Linked DNA regions of Saccharomyces cerevisiae S288C. The gene in region 3 interacts genetically with the main gene of each other region. Each region holds a gene or a part of one and is shown on either strand. Other genes may lie near its edges.

Region 1 (7,652 bases), on a different chromosome or scaffold from region 3:
TATAAGGTCAAACTTCGTGACAGTCAAATGCAAGTTGAATCCCACTTAATTATTCCTGCATGTGTCTCCATTTGTGACTTGACGGTAAATGGCGCAAAATGCTGTAATATTTTCTCATTAGTTAACGACTCCAAATGTAAAGGGAGGGTCTTGGATTGCACCAATTTGAAAGTTTTGAATTGCGTTCATGGTTTGAAACTACACTTATCGAAATCCATGTGGAAGCTAGGTACAAATAATGGAAGAATCATTCTCGTTGCTGTAAAAGCCGAAACCTTCTCTGGGACGAAGGAATATTGCAAAATGATTGATTTTCTGTGAAATCTTCAATAAAAAAACCTTTCTCTTCTGTTTGACATATATAATTTAAATGGATCGTTCAGAGTATGATCGTACCATTGCATAGCTGTAACAATATTCACATTCATAAAGCACATAAGTACTAATAGCATTCTTACGCACTAAAATGAATCACGCGGTCTTCTATGTTCAACCGATAGCAAAGGCTTAGGTTCGAACGCGAGACAATTTTCTATTCGAGATGTTAGTTATCTATATCATACAGGAAGATAAAGATACACTGCTGTACGCTGGGTATCTTCAAATGTACAAGTCACGATACTTCACTCGATGATAAAAAAAAAACGAAATAAATCTCTTTGTAAAACGGTTCATCCTTATGCAGGGGAACTGCTGATCATCTCTGTATTGTTTCAAATTGACCAAATGTCCACGAAGGGTTACTTCGCGAACACATAGTTGCGAAAAAAACATTTATTTATAGTAGCCGAAAATAGTGGACGAAATACTTTTACCACTGTTCATGCCAGGCTGTGTTGAAACTGTTGCAATGAAACTCTAAAGTATCATCGATTCAGTAGTATTCATGCTACTGGTATAGTATCACATGAGGTCCAGGAAGATGACATAAAAATTGAGAAACAGTCATTAAGTCTAATGGAAGCTGAAATGCAAGGATTGATAATGTAATAGGATAATGAATTATATAAAACTAAAAGAGGAATAATCTCAATACTATTATGTAGAAATATATCGATTCCATTGTGAGCATTCCTATATCCTCGGAGAGAACATTTAGTATCTTCTATATACCTAATATTATTGCGTTTACGAACAATGGAATCCCAACAATTATCAAGTTATTCCCCCAATTCTCAGACAGTCATGGTAGCAATATAAATTCTGAAATTATATTGTGTACAAATATACGTATAGCATTTATTAGTGCTGGAGATTATAAATAACAGAACTATTATGGAGAATTATCGATCATACTTTACCGTTTAGATGTTTTATGTTGTCTTTTAATGCCGCATGCAATACTTTTTTAGATTAAACTTAAAATTAACTTGTTCTGGTAATTACTGACGGATAACAGGTACTTCTTTAAATAGGATTATGGTGCTTCAGCTATCATCAAGTTTGGTACATCCTGAACCCAATTTCACGATATTTTAATATTCAGATATTGAAAAGGTGCATTATTATTGTTCGCTTAAATACAGAAAATAGGAAAGCAATACGAAATCATTACTTTTATCATGTTGTTTCTTAACGTAATTACTTAATAAAACTCATGTGAACCGTATGAAATGTAATAACTATATATGTCTGCTCAACTTTGAATATGATCACATTATTTTTCCCACTTGTTTTGACTTGGAGAAATACCTATTTTGACTTTAACAACGTCCATCGTTGCTATTGCATCTTGAGAACTATCATGCTCGCCATTTTGGATTTTTCTACTCAAAACTTCAAACGCTAAGTTCTTCAAAGAAACCTTAAACTTTGTTCTTGAATAAAGTATTGCAGTATCTATAACCTTATTATGAAATAGCCTCATGACGTTCAGATCGTTCTCTAGTCCGTGCCCTATAAGAATACTATTTTTATTTATTAAGTTTTCGGATAAAAAAACATCAAGTGCCTCCTTGTACGTCGGGCAATTGGTTCGGTCAATCTCATGGACACCACTGAAGTCTGAATTCAGATCGACAATATCCCCTATTGGCTGAATTACATGATCAAATAGTGTCTTGCCGGTGAAAAAATCCACAATTGTTAAACGTATCATCTCATAGCCCAATGATGTAAAAGCCATTTCACAGTCAAGAGAAAGAACATTCTCAACACCATCAATGTCATCTGTACTAGAAAACTTCGAAATTTTGCATAACTCGTCATATGATTCTCCTCTAAACACATGGTGAAAAAACGTCTTGCATCCTAGCCTTAGAAAAGAAACGGAATCAGTAGTTTCACCACAGCATGGATACTGATGGTTCTTGGTATCTCTGTTGTATATTCTTTTCAAAGGGTGATACCTACATAGAGTCTTTTCCATGATGTCTGTTTTTTTGAAATTTGAGCTGCAACGCAAACAAGGTGCATACAGTTGCGTACTATTGTCATCATTAGTTTTATTTTGCATTTCCTTAACAATATACCCATTTTTCTCTAAGACCTTCGAATCCAAAATCAGAGCCTTTAAAGCTTCCATCGCTTTTGATTTTGTAGTGATAGAGTTTGCATTACCAATTGAGGATAAATGAGGCTTAGCTCCTTTAAGGGGGCGCCCATTAATTTTGATCTTCGAGAGATCTCCTTTATATTTAAGCACATCCCGCAGTAAAATGCTCATGTTAAACTTGTAACTCTGACCAGACAAGCTGTTTTTAGCAACATGGACTTCTAAGCGAGTGGCAAGTCTTTCAAGGTCAATATTAGTTCCTTTTGTGTGTGCATATGCCTTTTGTAGCTGCTTGAATAATTTCTGCAAAATTTTATATCTTTCTTGGAATCCAAGCGGTTGATTTACCAGATCAACCGGTCTCAACAAACTTCCCATACTAAAGCTTTCTCTTGATATATAGTCAAACTGAATGTATACTGAAACACATATTCAAGGCATTGATTTTAAATGCACTTGAACCGTTATTCCATTTCTTTTTCTACTCATCATTTATTGTCGCCCTTTACGAGGTATTTTTTCTTTTTCGAGTGAAAAATTTTAAAGAAGCGATGAGCTAAGGTCTATTTAGCTTTATGAAAAGAAAACATTATATCACTTACTGCTTTACTTTAGACATTCCTCTCCAAAGTGATTATTTTAAAGATTCAAAGTACCTCTGAGTTAATTTGACATCGAATTCTACTCTTATTATTTTAAGGTACCTCTACTTTACGCGGTCACATTATTTTTAAAACCGTTATAATCTGCTGAGAATGTCCCAGGATAGAATTTTGTTAGATTTAGACGTAGTTAACCAAAGGTTAATTCTCTTCAATTCTGCTTTTCCCTCTGATGCTATTGAAGCGCCCTTCCACTTTAGCAACAAGGAATCAACTTCTGAGAATTTAGACAATTTAGCAGGAACTATACTACATAGCCGTTCCATCACTGGTCATGTTTTCCTTTACAAACATATTTTTTTAGAGATAGTGGCACGTTGGATAAAGGACTCCAAAAAAAAAGATTACGTTCTTGTAATTGAAAAGTTGGCAAGTATAATTACAATATTTCCCGTTGCAATGCCATTAATTGAAGACTATTTAGATAAAGAGAATGATCATTTCATCACTATTCTTCAAAATCCATCCACACAAAAGGATTCCGACATGTTTAAAATACTATTAGCATACTATAGGTTACTATATCACAATAAAGAAGTATTTGCACGCTTCATTCAACCCGACATTTTATACCAACTTGTGGATTTACTCACCAAAGAACAAGAAAATCAGGTTGTTATATTTCTAGCATTAAAGGTTTTATCTTTATACTTAGACATGGGAGAAAAAACATTAAACGATATGCTCGACACTTATATAAAATCACGCGATTCATTGTTGGGCCATTTTGAGGGCGATTCTGGAATTGATTACAGCTTCCTCGAACTGAACGAAGCTAAGAGATGTGCAAATTTCTCTAAACTACCCAGTGTTCCAGAATGTTTCACTATAGAAAAAAAATCTAGCTACTTCATTATTGAGCCTCAGGATTTGAGTACTAAGGTCGCGTCAATCTGTGGCGTTATCGTCCCTAAGGTCCACACTATCCACGACAAAGTATTCTACCCATTAACCTTTGTCCCTACTCATAAAACGGTTTCCTCTCTTCGTCAACTCGGGAGAAAGATTCAAAATTCAACTCCAATAATGCTCATTGGAAAAGCGGGATCCGGTAAAACCTTTTTAATCAATGAGCTAAGTAAATATATGGGTTGCCATGACTCCATTGTGAAAATTCATTTAGGTGAACAAACTGATGCCAAGTTACTGATTGGTACTTATACCTCTGGTGACAAGCCAGGCACGTTTGAATGGAGAGCTGGTGTTCTCGCTACCGCGGTCAAAGAAGGGAGATGGGTACTTATAGAAGACATAGATAAAGCTCCTACAGATGTTTTATCAATACTTTTATCGCTTTTAGAAAAGCGCGAACTAACCATTCCATCCAGAGGAGAGACTGTAAAGGCTGCAAATGGTTTCCAGTTAATATCAACTGTTAGAATAAACGAAGATCATCAGAAGGATAGTTCCAATAAGATCTATAACTTGAATATGATTGGTATGAGAATCTGGAATGTTATTGAATTAGAGGAACCTAGCGAAGAGGATTTGACACACATTTTAGCCCAAAAGTTTCCCATTTTGACCAACCTTATCCCCAAACTAATCGATTCATACAAAAACGTCAAAAGTATTTATATGAACACCAAGTTCATTTCATTGAACAAGGGGGCACACACAAGAGTTGTATCTGTAAGAGATTTAATTAAGCTGTGCGAAAGGTTAGACATCCTATTCAAAAACAATGGCATCAACAAACCTGACCAACTAATCCAGTCTTCTGTCTACGACAGTATTTTCTCCGAAGCCGCCGACTGTTTCGCTGGCGCTATTGGAGAATTCAAAGCTTTGGAACCTATTATACAAGCAATCGGCGAGTCATTAGACATTGCTTCCTCAAGGATTTCGTTATTTTTGACCCAACATGTGCCCACTTTGGAAAACCTTGATGATAGCATTAAAATTGGAAGAGCCGTATTACTTAAGGAAAAGCTAAATATACAAAAAAAATCAATGAACAGCACATTGTTCGCATTTACGAATCATTCTTTAAGACTAATGGAACAGATTTCTGTTTGTATACAGATGACTGAACCTGTTTTACTAGTCGGTGAAACGGGTACCGGGAAAACTACAGTCGTTCAACAACTTGCTAAGATGTTAGCAAAAAAATTAACGGTAATCAATGTTTCACAACAAACAGAAACTGGTGATCTTCTTGGTGGGTACAAACCCGTAAATTCTAAAACAGTTGCAGTTCCTATACAAGAAAATTTTGAAACTCTTTTTAATGCTACATTTTCCTTAAAGAAGAACGAGAAGTTTCACAAGATGCTACATAGGTGCTTCAACAAGAATCAATGGAAGAACGTTGTTAAACTTTGGAACGAAGCGTACAAAATGGCTCAAAGCATATTAAAAATTACAAACACTGAAAATGAAAACGAAAATGCAAAGAAGAAGAAAAGAAGACTCAATACTCATGAAAAAAAATTGTTACTTGACAAATGGGCTGACTTCAATGACTCAGTGAAGAAGTTTGAGGCCCAGTCTAGCTCTATTGAAAACTCGTTTGTCTTCAATTTTGTCGAGGGTTCTTTGGTAAAGACTATCAGGGCTGGGGAGTGGCTATTGCTCGATGAAGTGAATTTAGCAACCGCAGATACCTTAGAAAGTATTTCTGACCTTCTCACCGAGCCTGATTCTCGTAGTATTCTTCTTTCAGAAAAGGGTGACGCTGAGCCTATAAAAGCTCACCCCGATTTTAGAATATTTGCTTGTATGAACCCCGCTACTGATGTTGGTAAAAGAGACTTACCTATGGGTATCAGATCAAGATTTACCGAAATATATGTACATTCTCCGGAACGTGATATTACTGATTTGCTTTCCATAATTGATAAATATATTGGAAAGTACAGCGTCAGCGATGAATGGGTAGGAAATGACATCGCTGAACTTTACCTTGAAGCCAAAAAACTCTCCGATAACAATACTATAGTTGATGGCTCAAACCAAAAACCACACTTTAGTATCCGTACCCTGACGCGTACATTGCTTTATGTTACTGATATTATTCATATCTACGGTCTACGCCGTTCCCTGTATGATGGATTCTGTATGAGTTTTTTGACTTTACTGGACCAAAAATCTGAGGCCATTCTGAAGCCAGTAATAGAAAAATTCACATTGGGGAGGCTAAAAAATGTCAAGTCAATCATGTCACAGACACCTCCCTCTCCAGGACCAGATTATGTTCAGTTTAAGCATTATTGGATGAAAAAGGGCCCTAATACAATTCAAGAACAAGCTCACTATATCATTACGCCTTTTGTTGAAAAGAATATGATGAATTTGGTAAGAGCTACATCAGGCAAAAGATTTCCTGTGCTTATTCAAGGTCCAACTTCATCGGGAAAAACCAGTATGATCAAATATCTTGCGGATATAACGGGCCATAAGTTTGTCCGTATAAATAACCATGAGCATACAGATTTACAGGAATATTTAGGTACATATGTTACCGATGATACCGGAAAGCTGTCGTTTAAGGAAGGTGTTTTAGTCGAGGCACTACGAAAAGGATATTGGATTGTTTTGGATGAATTAAATCTTGCCCCAACCGATGTTTTAGAAGCCTTAAATAGGTTACTTGACGATAACAGAGAACTTTTTATTCCAGAAACACAAGAAGTTGTACATCCTCATCCTGATTTCCTTCTTTTTGCTACCCAGAATCCACCTGGGATATACGGTGGCCGTAAAATTCTTTCAAGAGCTTTTAGGAATCGTTTTCTGGAGTTGCACTTCGACGATATTCCGCAAGATGAATTAGAAATTATCCTACGTGAGCGCTGCCAAATTGCCCCATCATATGCAAAGAAAATCGTTGAAGTATACCGCCAATTATCCATCGAACGTTCCGCTTCAAGGTTGTTCGAACAGAAAAATAGTTTTGCAACTCTACGTGATCTTTTCCGCTGGGCTTTAAGGGACGCAGTGGGATATGAGCAGCTTGCTGCCAGTGGCTATATGCTTCTTGCAGAAAGGTGCAGAACTCCACAAGAAAAAGTTACAGTCAAAAAGACTTTAGAAAAAGTAATGAAAGTTAAATTAGATATGGACCAATATTATGCAAGTCTGGAAGATAAATCCTTAGAAGCCATTGGCTCTGTTACTTGGACAAAAGGAATGCGCCGACTATCCGTCTTAGTTTCTAGTTGTTTAAAGAATAAGGAGCCAGTACTACTGGTAGGTGAAACTGGGTGCGGCAAAACAACAATTTGCCAATTATTGGCGCAATTCATGGGTCGAGAACTGATCACACTAAATGCCCATCAAAACACAGAAACTGGAGACATATTAGGTGCTCAAAGACCTGTTCGTAACAGGTCTGAAATTCAATATAAGCTAATAAAATCCTTAAAAACAGCATTGAATATTGCTAATGACCAAGATGTAGACTTGAAAGAGTTATTACAGCTATATTCTAAGTCAGATAATAAAAATATAGCCGAAGATGTTCAACTGGAAATACAAAAGCTGAGGGATAGTTT
Region 2 (5,207 bases), on a different chromosome or scaffold from region 3:
TTCGTTAAAGGAAATTCCCAAAAGATTAACCATCATTGGTGGAGGAATCATCGGATTGGAAATGGGTTCAGTTTACTCTAGATTAGGCTCCAAGGTTACTGTAGTAGAATTTCAACCTCAAATTGGTGCATCTATGGACGGCGAGGTTGCCAAAGCCACCCAAAAGTTCTTGAAAAAGCAAGGTTTGGACTTCAAATTAAGCACCAAAGTTATTTCTGCAAAGAGAAACGACGACAAGAACGTCGTCGAAATTGTTGTAGAAGATACTAAAACGAATAAGCAAGAAAATTTGGAAGCTGAAGTTTTGCTGGTTGCTGTTGGTAGAAGACCTTACATTGCTGGCTTAGGGGCTGAAAAGATTGGATTAGAAGTAGACAAAAGGGGACGCCTAGTCATTGATGACCAATTTAATTCCAAGTTCCCACACATTAAAGTGGTAGGAGATGTTACATTTGGTCCAATGCTGGCTCACAAAGCCGAAGAGGAAGGTATTGCAGCTGTCGAAATGTTGAAAACTGGTCACGGTCATGTCAACTATAACAACATTCCTTCGGTCATGTATTCTCACCCAGAAGTAGCATGGGTTGGTAAAACCGAAGAGCAATTGAAAGAAGCCGGCATTGACTATAAAATTGGTAAGTTCCCCTTTGCGGCCAATTCAAGAGCCAAGACCAACCAAGACACTGAAGGTTTCGTGAAGATTTTGATCGATTCCAAGACCGAGCGTATTTTGGGGGCTCACATTATCGGTCCAAATGCCGGTGAAATGATTGCTGAAGCTGGCTTAGCCTTAGAATATGGCGCTTCCGCAGAAGATGTTGCTAGGGTCTGCCATGCTCATCCTACTTTGTCCGAAGCATTTAAGGAAGCTAACATGGCTGCCTATGATAAAGCTATTCATTGTTGAAAACAGGAAATAATAAACAGTATAGTATATATATTTATGAAGAACCGCTTAGTATTGAGTAAGTAAAAAAAAATTGCACAAGGAATTAATATATGAGGAAACTACTAGTCGATCAGATAAGATATTATGACCAGATATGCAAAAAAAAGGGGGCGAGCTGGGAATTGAACCCAGGGCCTCTCGCATGCTTTGTCTTCCTGTTTATTCAGGAAGTCGCCCAAAGCGAGAATCATACCACTAGACCACACGCCCGAATTATTGTTGCGTTAATAAGAAAAACAGAAATATTTATATAGGAGAGTGATTAAAGGGAATCTTCTATCAACAATATCCATTCAAATTCAGGCGCATAACGTGAGTGAATATAGAATTGAGCCTCCTATTAGTCTTCCCGATTTCATTCGAGAAACATATCAGGATTAACCTGTACATTATGGTGTCTGTATTACTATTTTACATGTTCACGTTTATTTCTTGCTCATATATTCATATGGATGACCACTACGTTTGCTACCATTAAGTCTAATTATTTCAGCAACCAATATTCCATGTAAGTGTATAGCTAGTGGATATTAGACAACGGCTGCCACATGGTTAAGTCTTTTGCTCACCAGGACTACCGGTAAGAATCTGTTCCTTGTAACTCATTGCAAGGAGATTTTAGTTGCTCCCAATTATATTTTTTGAAGCACTAGCAGGGCAATGATTTTTCTTCTCGTAAGTACATGAATTATGAAATACTTTTTGGGATTTCGTTGTTGTCAAAGGCTATAAAATTTAGTATACAAAGTATACCAGAAAGTTTCCTCGAGGATATAGAAATTCACAAAAGGAAATCGATATTTCTATGTAATAATATAATTAAATTTCCTTCCATCTCATATCCTGTCATTAATTATTCCATTACAACATCATTCCCCTGAATTTCAGCTTCCACTACACCTGAGACTATCTCTCAAACGTTACGCCATATTCTCACACCCATATTATAATATAGTAGTAATATGAATACTAATCGGTAGATGATAGTTGAACTTTATTCAAATATCATCGAAGTAAGAAGATATACTACTAAAGACTCCCTTTGCTCTATATTCGAGTCAGGCTCCACCAGTCATTTCGAAATTAACCAGTTACAGGTCAAAAGACTAAACTTACTGCAAAACCAATTTGCTTCTGTTTTCACTTCTTTCCACCCCAAAGATAATACAAAGGGCATACATATCAATTTTTTTTCACCTGTCACTAGGATAACTGACCTTCAATATTCCTTTTTTTATACGAATCAGATACTGTTCGGTACACGATATCTAATTAAAATGATTCAAAACTTTGTAACAGGTAAAGTTTTCACTAGAACCAATCAATCCAAGTGAATTAGGGGAAACCATAGTTGTTGATTTGTAGAAACCTCACATTGTACATTGTTGGTTTGTTGGGCATATCAGAACGAGAGATTTTCCAACATTCAATATACACTAAACCCTATGACGAGTCCCACAGATGGCGTAAGGTTTTTATGATTTCAGCAGGGTACGACGACTAGTACCATATTAACATTTTTTAGTGTTTCTAATTTGGGAAAAGGTCCGTGTTTTTTCTCCTAGCAACCGTTTAGTGCCAAGGGTTAGGCAATTGAACGAGGCCAAGACAATATTGGCTTTGCTTCTATTACTTGGCTAACATTGTGTCTGCAGGTCGAAAGGCACCTTTACTGTAAGGAACATTCTTGCGCTCTAAACATACGAAGATATGGGGAATATGAAGCGTGTTTCTTATACGAAGTGCAGCATCGTTCAAGGAAAATACACCCCCATAGTAATAATGGCTAAGTGGCCAGGAATTAGAATATGTGAGATATGAGTGCAAAATGAGTGACCAGTAATAGCCTGTTTGGGATGTAATTGCTCAAAAAATTTATATAAATACAGCGGTTTGATCAGCTTTGTTTGAGACATTTCTCTGTTCTTTTCCTTCCAGTTAAGCTTATATCTCCACTAAGCAACAACCCAAAAAACAACAAATACAATGGTCAAATTAACTTCAATCGCCGCTGGTGTCGCCGCCATTGCCGCTGGTGCCTCCGCTGCAGCAACCACTACACTATCTCAATCTGACGAAAGAGTTAATTTGGTTGAATTAGGTGTCTATGTTTCCGATATCAGAGCTCATTTGGCTGAATACTACTCCTTCCAAGCTGCCCACCCAACTGAAACTTATCCAGTTGAAATTGCAGAAGCTGTTTTCAACTACGGTGATTTCACCACCATGTTGACTGGTATTCCCGCCGACCAAGTTACCAGAGTTATCACTGGTGTTCCATGGTACTCTAGCAGATTAAAGCCAGCTATCTCTAGCGCTCTATCCGCAGACGGTATCTACACTATTGCAAATTAGAGATAGATTCCCTTAGGGATAAAATGTGATACGAATTAGAGAATAACGAAAAATATACAATTTTTTTTTTTTTTTTTGATATAGAAATAGTTAAAATACATTCAAATGTATACCGATATTATAAGCTTTCTCGATTAGTTTCGGTGCTTTTTTGAAGCCGTAAGTAATATGCAAATTTGTTATGACTTCTTTTCTATTCTTGCAGCAAATGTTGGGATTTAACTTCCAACTGGTGCCGTGCCATTTTTATTATTAACTTTAATAATGTTCTATTGTATTGGGACGGAAAAAGCTTATTTCTTAAATTGGAGCAAGAATCTCGGAGTTCGGTGCCTATCCGAAGGTTCGCCCTGACGAAATACACTAGGCAGGAAAGTTTTCTCACAACAAGAATTAGAAACGATATTAAGCCTGGTTCAGTTTACACATCAGACATACTCGATGAGTTAATACAAAAAAAAAAATTGCAGGTGCTTTATAAAGTAAAATAACATCGTGGAATGCAAGTTATTTTTTAGTCATCCACAATTGCTGCAGTGGTATTATGAGGCAGGATTTTTTTGACACCACAATTATGGTATTTTCGTGAGCAAACCCAACTTTTGGTATATGTCTAGATGCAGAGAGTGCCGTAATCCTTTTTCTCGTCTCCTTTTTCTTAGCACACTACTTTTTGATGTGGAAATATAAGTTATGCAAGAGAAAAAACAGAAGGGCTTTACAAAATTATCCTCCTTCCGATTCTGAAGGTGGGCTCTCTAAAGTATCTAAAATCGTAGGGGAGTACTGCTACTACCATCACTGACATTTGGGGCTTATTCTTTTCTGAAAATTCAAGATTTTTCAGACACGACCAAACAATTAGTACGCACCGACTACTGCAGTTATTTATCTGTCAAGCCACAGAAGTTTCTTCCTTCCTTTTGTGTGGATATTGCGGTACACAGCGGGAAACTCCTTAGTGTTCATAAAGAAATACGATCATATGTAGTATACAACCTGTAATTACTTCTTGTGGAGAGAGATAGTTTTTTTACTTTATTTTGTGACCGGCTGTGATTTCAAACAGTAAGCCAACTTCCAGAGAAATGCCTTGTTATTAAGGAAATACCCATCCGTTGGAGCGCACCGTCGGAAAAGTAGCAAATTGCATCAACATGATGCAAAAAGTCGAAATAACAAGGTCCCGCTTTTACACATCACAAAATGATGCCATTCAGATCCAGATCTTTCTGCCTGATGAAAGAAAATCCTTGCCATTGTCTTGTTTTGACGAGGTATTCCCAGAACACATCATTGTTCGTACTCGCGGCTTCCATTTTATTATTTTTGAAAAATGCTGCCAAATAAAGAAGCAAAAAAAAAAGGATGTTCAGGTCTCGGTTGCTCTTACTGAGCTTCTAGTGACGTCATATAAGACTCAAATAAAGTAATTGCCTAGGATAACTGGTTTAGTTCTCTTTTAAATTTGGGAGGGCCATTCCTGTGTGTGAGCCCTGCGCCTTTCAACTATTCTGTCACCGCCGCAATAGATGTTGGGTCACATGGAAGCATAACGCACACTGAGCTTTTGATAAATGTTGCACTTTTTTTGTTATTTTTTTTTTTTTTTTATGAAATAAATATAGTGTTCTTCTTTTTATTCTATGTATACATAGAGTTTGATTAGTATGTGTATATATATATGAAGCGGACATGGAAAGAAGCGAGTACTTTTTTTTTTTTGGGGGATCTATAAATTCAGATTCAACCAATCCAGGCTCAGATTGCCATTTGGAGTGGTGTTCATGTTTGAGTTTGGATTTGTGTCTCCAGAATGATGATCTATTGCGGAGTCCAAAGGCTTCCAGAAGGCTTCATTGTTGAAGGAGGAGGTTGAGGCGTTGTGAAGGTTCATGTTCAT
Region 3 (5,935 bases):
GAATACGTTTCTTCTGATGAAGATTTTTAATTTGAAGTCGAGTACATCTCTTTCAGTGAGTAACTTATATATTTTTGAAGTTAACATCCTTATTCTTTTTTTATATTTTTATTTTTTTTATGTTTATTTTCTATTACTGATTTTCACAAAGAAAGGTAAAAAAAAACATACTTCAGCGGCTATACAACCATATTTAAGTAAATGCACTCAGAGAAAGTATACAAGTAAAAAACCTAAGTAAAGACATAAATATCCCAAAATAATGCAAAAACTCCTCTTTGTCTTTTCTGTGTTATTGACAGTAGTACTAGCAACAGCACCATTTCAGGTACAATGTCCTAGCTCTCCACTTATTAGGGAGGCCAAAGTAAGTTAAACTCTTTGCCACTTTAACAAATATGGGCCAAAACTAACCGAATATACCAAAACTTCGTATTCCTTTGTTTATTAGCATGAACTCTGTCCAGAAGAAACCTTGTATCTGAAGAAAAAAAAAATTAAAACGAAGAATAAACTGATTCAGTTTTTAAAATCCTTGACAGAGGCAAAGTTTAGTTCGAAGTTTTATAAACGCGTGTTGAAAGATCCTCCAAAAATTGGGATTGCTATATCTGGCGGCGGGTACAGATCCATGTTAGTAGGTACCGGATTTATTTCCCAAATGAACGATTATGGCCTTTTTGAATATTCGGATTATATTGCTGGATTATCAGGCGGAAGTTGGATCTTGATGGATTTGGTAGTTCAAAATTTTGAAGTAAAATCCCTGCTACAAGAGTGGGACCTTGAAGAGGATCTTTTATTAGGCATACCGGAATTCGATATTTCCGAAGAAGAAATTGTTACCAATGCAAAAAAGGAGTATAATGATAATGATTTGAAGATGAAGAAGCGTCAGGGGGGTTCTCTGATTACAAGCTCTTCAAATTTTTATGAACAAATAGAGGAGATCATGAATTCCATAGAAGAAATCCCAGAAGACTATATGATAACGAAGAGAAACTTGAATCCATTAGCAAGACTAAAAAAAATATTCTTTCCTAACAACACTTTCACTGGAACTGATGCGAAGATTGAAACCTTTAAAAAAGTGCTAGACTTTTACAAAAGTTTGCATTTGAAAATTAAGCCTAAAAAAATGGAGGGTTTCCAAATATCGTTCACCGATTATTGGGGTAAAGCAATCGTTCAAAGACTAAAAAAAAATTTCGATGACGATCCCAACCATTCCTTTTCGTTTTCGAAGCTTGTAAACTCGTCTAAAAAATTTAAGGAATGCAGTGTGCCGATCCCAATATTCGTTGCAAATTGCAAAAATGGACTTCTTTCAAACGTTATATTTGAATTTACGCCCTTTGAATTTGGATCTTGGGAAAATATCCTCAGACTTTTCGTCAAGTTGCCCTATTTGGGCTCAAAAATTGTTTCTGGAAAGGCCGAGAAGTGTATTAATAACTTTGATGATCTAGGTTTTATTACTGCGACGTCTTCTTCAATATTCAACAATGTGCTCATCTTCATCTGGAATTTGGCTTCTCAGTCCTCCAGAGAAGCAATGAAAGCTTTGAATATGGTTATGGGAATTTTTGGCCTAGGTAAAGAGGAAATATTTAGTATTTCGAAAGACTCCTCGAGATTAGAGACAGACTATGCCGTATATCAACCCAATCCCTTTTATCTTTATCCTGAAAAAGACAATGTCCTAACTAACAAAAATCATTTATACCTTGTAGACGGCGGAGAAGACGGCGAGAATATTCCACTCAGAACATTGGTGATTCCTGAAAGGGAACTAGATGTAATTTTTGTTCTGGATTCTAGTTCGGATATTGACAACTATCCAAACGGCTCCAAGTTAAAAAGGATATTCGAAAAATTAGATGAAGAGAACGTTCATTACCAATTTCCGAACAATGTAAAAACATTCACTCACCCCATTGTTATAGGATGCAATGCTACCAAAAGAACTGGACATGATTCATTTTTGCCAATTATAATTTATCATGCCAATGCGAATCATGGAAACGCATCTAATACGTCGACATTCAAAATAACTTACAATCAGTCTGAAGTTAGCAGTATGTTACCCACTGGAAGGGGAGTGTTTAGCAATGATTATGACCTTTATTATAAAAATTGCTTAGGCTGTATATTAACCAAAAGAACAATGGACAGGCTCCCAAGAAAAAAGAAATTTTCGCCATTTTGCTTACAATGCTTTAAAGACTACTGTTACTCATAAGAGAGTAGACTTTTTCTGTGAAATTTAATGAGTTTTTGTTCACCTTTTTTACTTTTCTTCTATGCCATATGGTTAAATAAAACATGGTTCAAACGCGATTCTTTTTTATTATCTATGTCTTTATTATGTAGTCTTCACTATAATAACCGTTAATGAGCGACATAGTTGCATCAGTTTTTAAGGCCAATTTGATTCAGAACCTTTTCAAGTTCTTCACTTTCCATCTTATCCGAAGACGCGATCTGGTGGCATCTAATACTATGCTTCTCGAATATCGTTTCATCAATTTCAATTTCACCATTTTTTAGGTAAACAATATCAGTAATAAAATCTTGCCATTCAAAGTCATCATTCTCTGAATGGACACCCTTAGATTGCCTATAGCCTGCTATTGCCCTACTCATAGAATCTATGATCATTTGAACGTAGTGTAAACCGTCTAAACCAAAAACCTCTCTATCATATTTATTATTTATGAGCAAAACTTTTTTCGTATTATTAGATTCCAAAATTACTTCAGCAAGATTACCAAGAATAAGGATTGGGAGTAAACTTGTCATTAAAGAACCGATAGAATAAACGACCATGTCAGCTTTTTTCACCTTGGAAATAGCTCTTGGATTTCCCATTGGTTTTATCTCTTCGCCATATGGGTTTATATACAATATCCTATGTACCGGAGCAGGTAGATTCTGTGATTCATCAAGCTTGTCAAAATGCAACTGGGAGTTTTTCAGTTCTGGAAGAATATAGATAGGATTGGCATACTCCTCTTCCGCTTCTTCTTCCTCATCGTCGAGGAGAATTTTCAAATGGTCGTCATAAGAGCCAAGTAAATGAATAAATTTAGCTGAATGTGCTATGCTATTATCTTTAGGAACAGATTTCGAGGGATGCGATATTTGTGATTGGCCAGTTATCATCTCACCATTCGTCAACAAAGCCGAGATATGATGTGTGTGATTGGTATTTATACATGGAATAACATGAACTAGAGGACTGCACCTTCCTATCCTCATCATTAGTTCAATAGATGCGTCTAGAGAACCTAAAAACAATCTAGCACCAGTTAAGAAAAAATTTCCAATGGATGCACTCTCAAACTGAAATGGATTCGAGTGTTTGATTTTTTTCAAGAGTTCTGCTTGCATATGGATAATAAAAGAACGACACATTTCCTTAACTTCTATCGAAATATTTTTCCATATGGGATGCGAACCTTCCACTATTTCATTCCATTCTTTCTTAGCTAATAACTTATCATTAGGTAGCCTATGGCCAAACAACTCGACAAGCTGTTCATCTTGAAGTAGTCTCACTATTCTAGATCTGATATCACCAATTGCTGGGCCACCAACTATTCGTAGAATTTCACTTGTGGACCCGCCATTATCTGATATTGGCAATATATACGTCAGCTCATGTCCTTTTAAGATAGAAATATTAGAAAAGCAAGGAGTCAATGAATTTGTGGCAGTCCCACCGGAGCACACAACGACGTTCATCTAGTAAACTATCTCACCACACTCTGCTATTTTGTCCCCTTATTACCTCGAGGGAACAAAAGATTCCGTTTCCTCTCTTTCATAGTCCGCCTAAATAGCTTAAGAAATAAACCCAAACATCACACATTAGCGTTCTTTAGGAAATACGAAACAGGTTAATACAACAGTAGTAACTTTCCACATAATATCTAAGCATTACACGCTGAAAAAAACTCTTTATTGGATATCAACAACCCAACACATTGTACGACATATTCTTTTATCGTTCTACTATGGTACCCTGTTCAAATCTCTTTTTCTAAAATGAGCGAAATTTTCGAAAATTATCGCATAATTTTTCATCATCTTAAATTAAAAAAATACAGTGTCCTCTATTGTTTATCTCAACAGAACGCACACATTCTTGAAACTTGCTCACATAACATAAGCTGGAGTGACATAGCATTTATATATATACAAGGGAAATGGTCAAAGCTGTTATTTTTACCGATTTCGACGGTACCGTTACTTTGGAAGATTCTAACGATTATCTGACCGATACTTTAGGTTTCGGTAAGGAAAAAAGATTAAAGGTCTTCGAAGGCGTGTTAGATGATACTAAGTCTTTTAGGCAAGGTTTCATGGAAATGCTGGAATCCATCCACACCCCTTTCCCTGAGTGTATCAAGATCTTAGAAAAGAAAATTCGATTGGATCCTGGTTTCAAGGATACATTCGAATGGGCTCAAGAAAATGATGTCCCTGTCATCGTTGTTTCCAGCGGAATGAAACCAATTATCAAGGTTTTATTGACCAGATTAGTTGGACAAGAGTCTATTCACAAAATTGACATTGTTTCCAATGAAGTGGAAATCGATGCACATGATCAATGGAAAATCATCTATAAGGATGAAAGTCCCTTCGGACATGACAAATCCAGAAGTATCGATGCTTATAAAAAGAAATTTGAATCTACCTTGAAAGCAGGTGAACAAAGACCCGTTTACTTTTACTGTGGTGACGGTGTTTCTGATCTAAGTGCTGCAAAAGAATGTGATTTGCTATTTGCCAAAAGAGGTAAAGATTTGGTCACTTATTGTAAAAAACAAAACGTCCCATTCCATGAATTCGATACCTTCAAAGACATCTTGGCTAGCATGAAACAAGTTCTGGCTGGTGAAAAGACAGTCGCTGAATTGATGGAAAATTAGTGCAAGACTCTTACGAAATATTAAAGTTTAATACCGTGTAACTGCCTCTTACATATGTATGCATATATACGTACGTACTATATTTTTCTTGTATATCTTTTTTATTGTCTGAGAGAAAGAACATCAAAAAATAAAGGAAGATCCTCCTCGGATTTAGCATGCTTAATGCCGAATCTTTAATACAAAACGAATGATATTTCAAGTATACTAATTAGAAATCAATCAAACATACCAAAAGGGACAGTAAAGAGAAAAGCAGGAGCTCTCTTTTAGGGGAAAAGTAAAATGTGATTAGTATTTCGTTGCGTGTACTAGTCAACTCTTCTTGTCATTCTTAAATTTACATTAATTACCCCAATTTTGCATCTTCGTATATAAGAGTGTTCCCCTTATAAGCTTTCTCCTGCACATACCTGCAGTAAACACAAGCAACACTTTAGAGATAGTTGTCCAAGTTAAAATGAGTAAAATTAAAGTTGTTCATCCCATCGTGGAAATGGACGGTGATGAGCAGACAAGAGTTATTTGGAAACTTATCAAAGAAAAATTGATATTGCCATATTTAGATGTGGATTTAAAATACTATGACCTTTCAATCCAAGAGCGTGATAGGACTAATGATCAAGTAACAAAGGATTCTTCTTATGCTACCCTAAAATATGGGGTTGCTGTCAAATGTGCCACTATAACACCCGATGAGGCAAGAATGAAAGAATTTAACCTTAAAGAAATGTGGAAATCTCCAAATGGAACAATCAGAAACATCCTAGGTGGAACTGTATTTAGAGAACCCATCATTATTCCAAAAATACCTCGTCTAGTCCCTCACTGGGAGAAACCTATAATTATAGGCCGTCATGCTTTTGGTGACCAATATAGGGCTACTGACATCAAGATTAAAAAAGCAGGCAAACTAAGGTTACAGTTTAGCTCAGATGACGGTAAAGAAAACATCGATTTAAAGGTTTATGAATTTCCTAAAAGTGGTGGGATCGCAA

What was found. A genetic interaction does not mean that the proteins touch.
Region 1: mutations in PYP1 (region 3) and REA1 together harm fitness more than expected from each alone (negative genetic interaction), as found in Saccharomyces cerevisiae (one large-scale study listed by BioGRID).
Region 2: mutations in PYP1 (region 3) and PAU5 together harm fitness more than expected from each alone (negative genetic interaction), as found in Saccharomyces cerevisiae (one large-scale study listed by BioGRID).

What each region holds. Positions count from the first base shown.
Region 1 is NC_001144.5:359,336-366,987, reverse strand, and holds the start of REA1 (AAA family ATPase midasin), read left to right. Parts: upstream 1-3,249; coding exon 3,250-7,652. Other genes in the region: YLR108C (uncharacterized protein), read left to right, coding at 1-321; REX3 (RNA exonuclease), read right to left, coding at 1,658-2,872. UniProt on the Saccharomyces cerevisiae protein: Nuclear chaperone required for maturation and nuclear export of pre-60S ribosome subunits.
Region 2 is NC_001138.5:97,328-102,534, reverse strand, and holds PAU5 (seripauperin PAU5), read left to right. Parts: upstream 1-2,935; coding exon 2,936-3,304; downstream 3,305-5,207. Other genes in the region: LPD1 (dihydrolipoyl dehydrogenase), read left to right, coding at 1-907; YFL019C (uncharacterized protein), read left to right, coding at 1,930-2,283; GAT1 (Gat1p), read right to left, coding at 5,037-5,207.
Region 3 is NC_001146.8:609,424-615,358, forward strand, and holds PYP1 (putative phosphoric monoester hydrolase), read left to right. Parts: upstream 1-4,211; coding exon 4,212-4,937; downstream 4,938-5,935. Other genes in the region: HEF3 (translation elongation factor EF-3), read left to right, coding at 1-30; SPO1 (putative carboxylic ester hydrolase), read left to right, coding at 263-367, 452-2,242; YNL011C (uncharacterized protein), read right to left, coding at 2,413-3,747; isocitrate dehydrogenase (NADP(+)) IDP3, read left to right, coding at 5,398-5,935. UniProt on the Saccharomyces cerevisiae protein: Hydrolyzes sugar alcohol (polyol) phosphates. Dephosphorylates a variety of substrates, including: sn-glycerol 1-phosphate (D-glycerol 3-phosphate), D-ribitol 5-phosphate, D-sorbitol 6-phosphate (D-glucitol 6-phosphate), and D-erythrose 4-phosphate.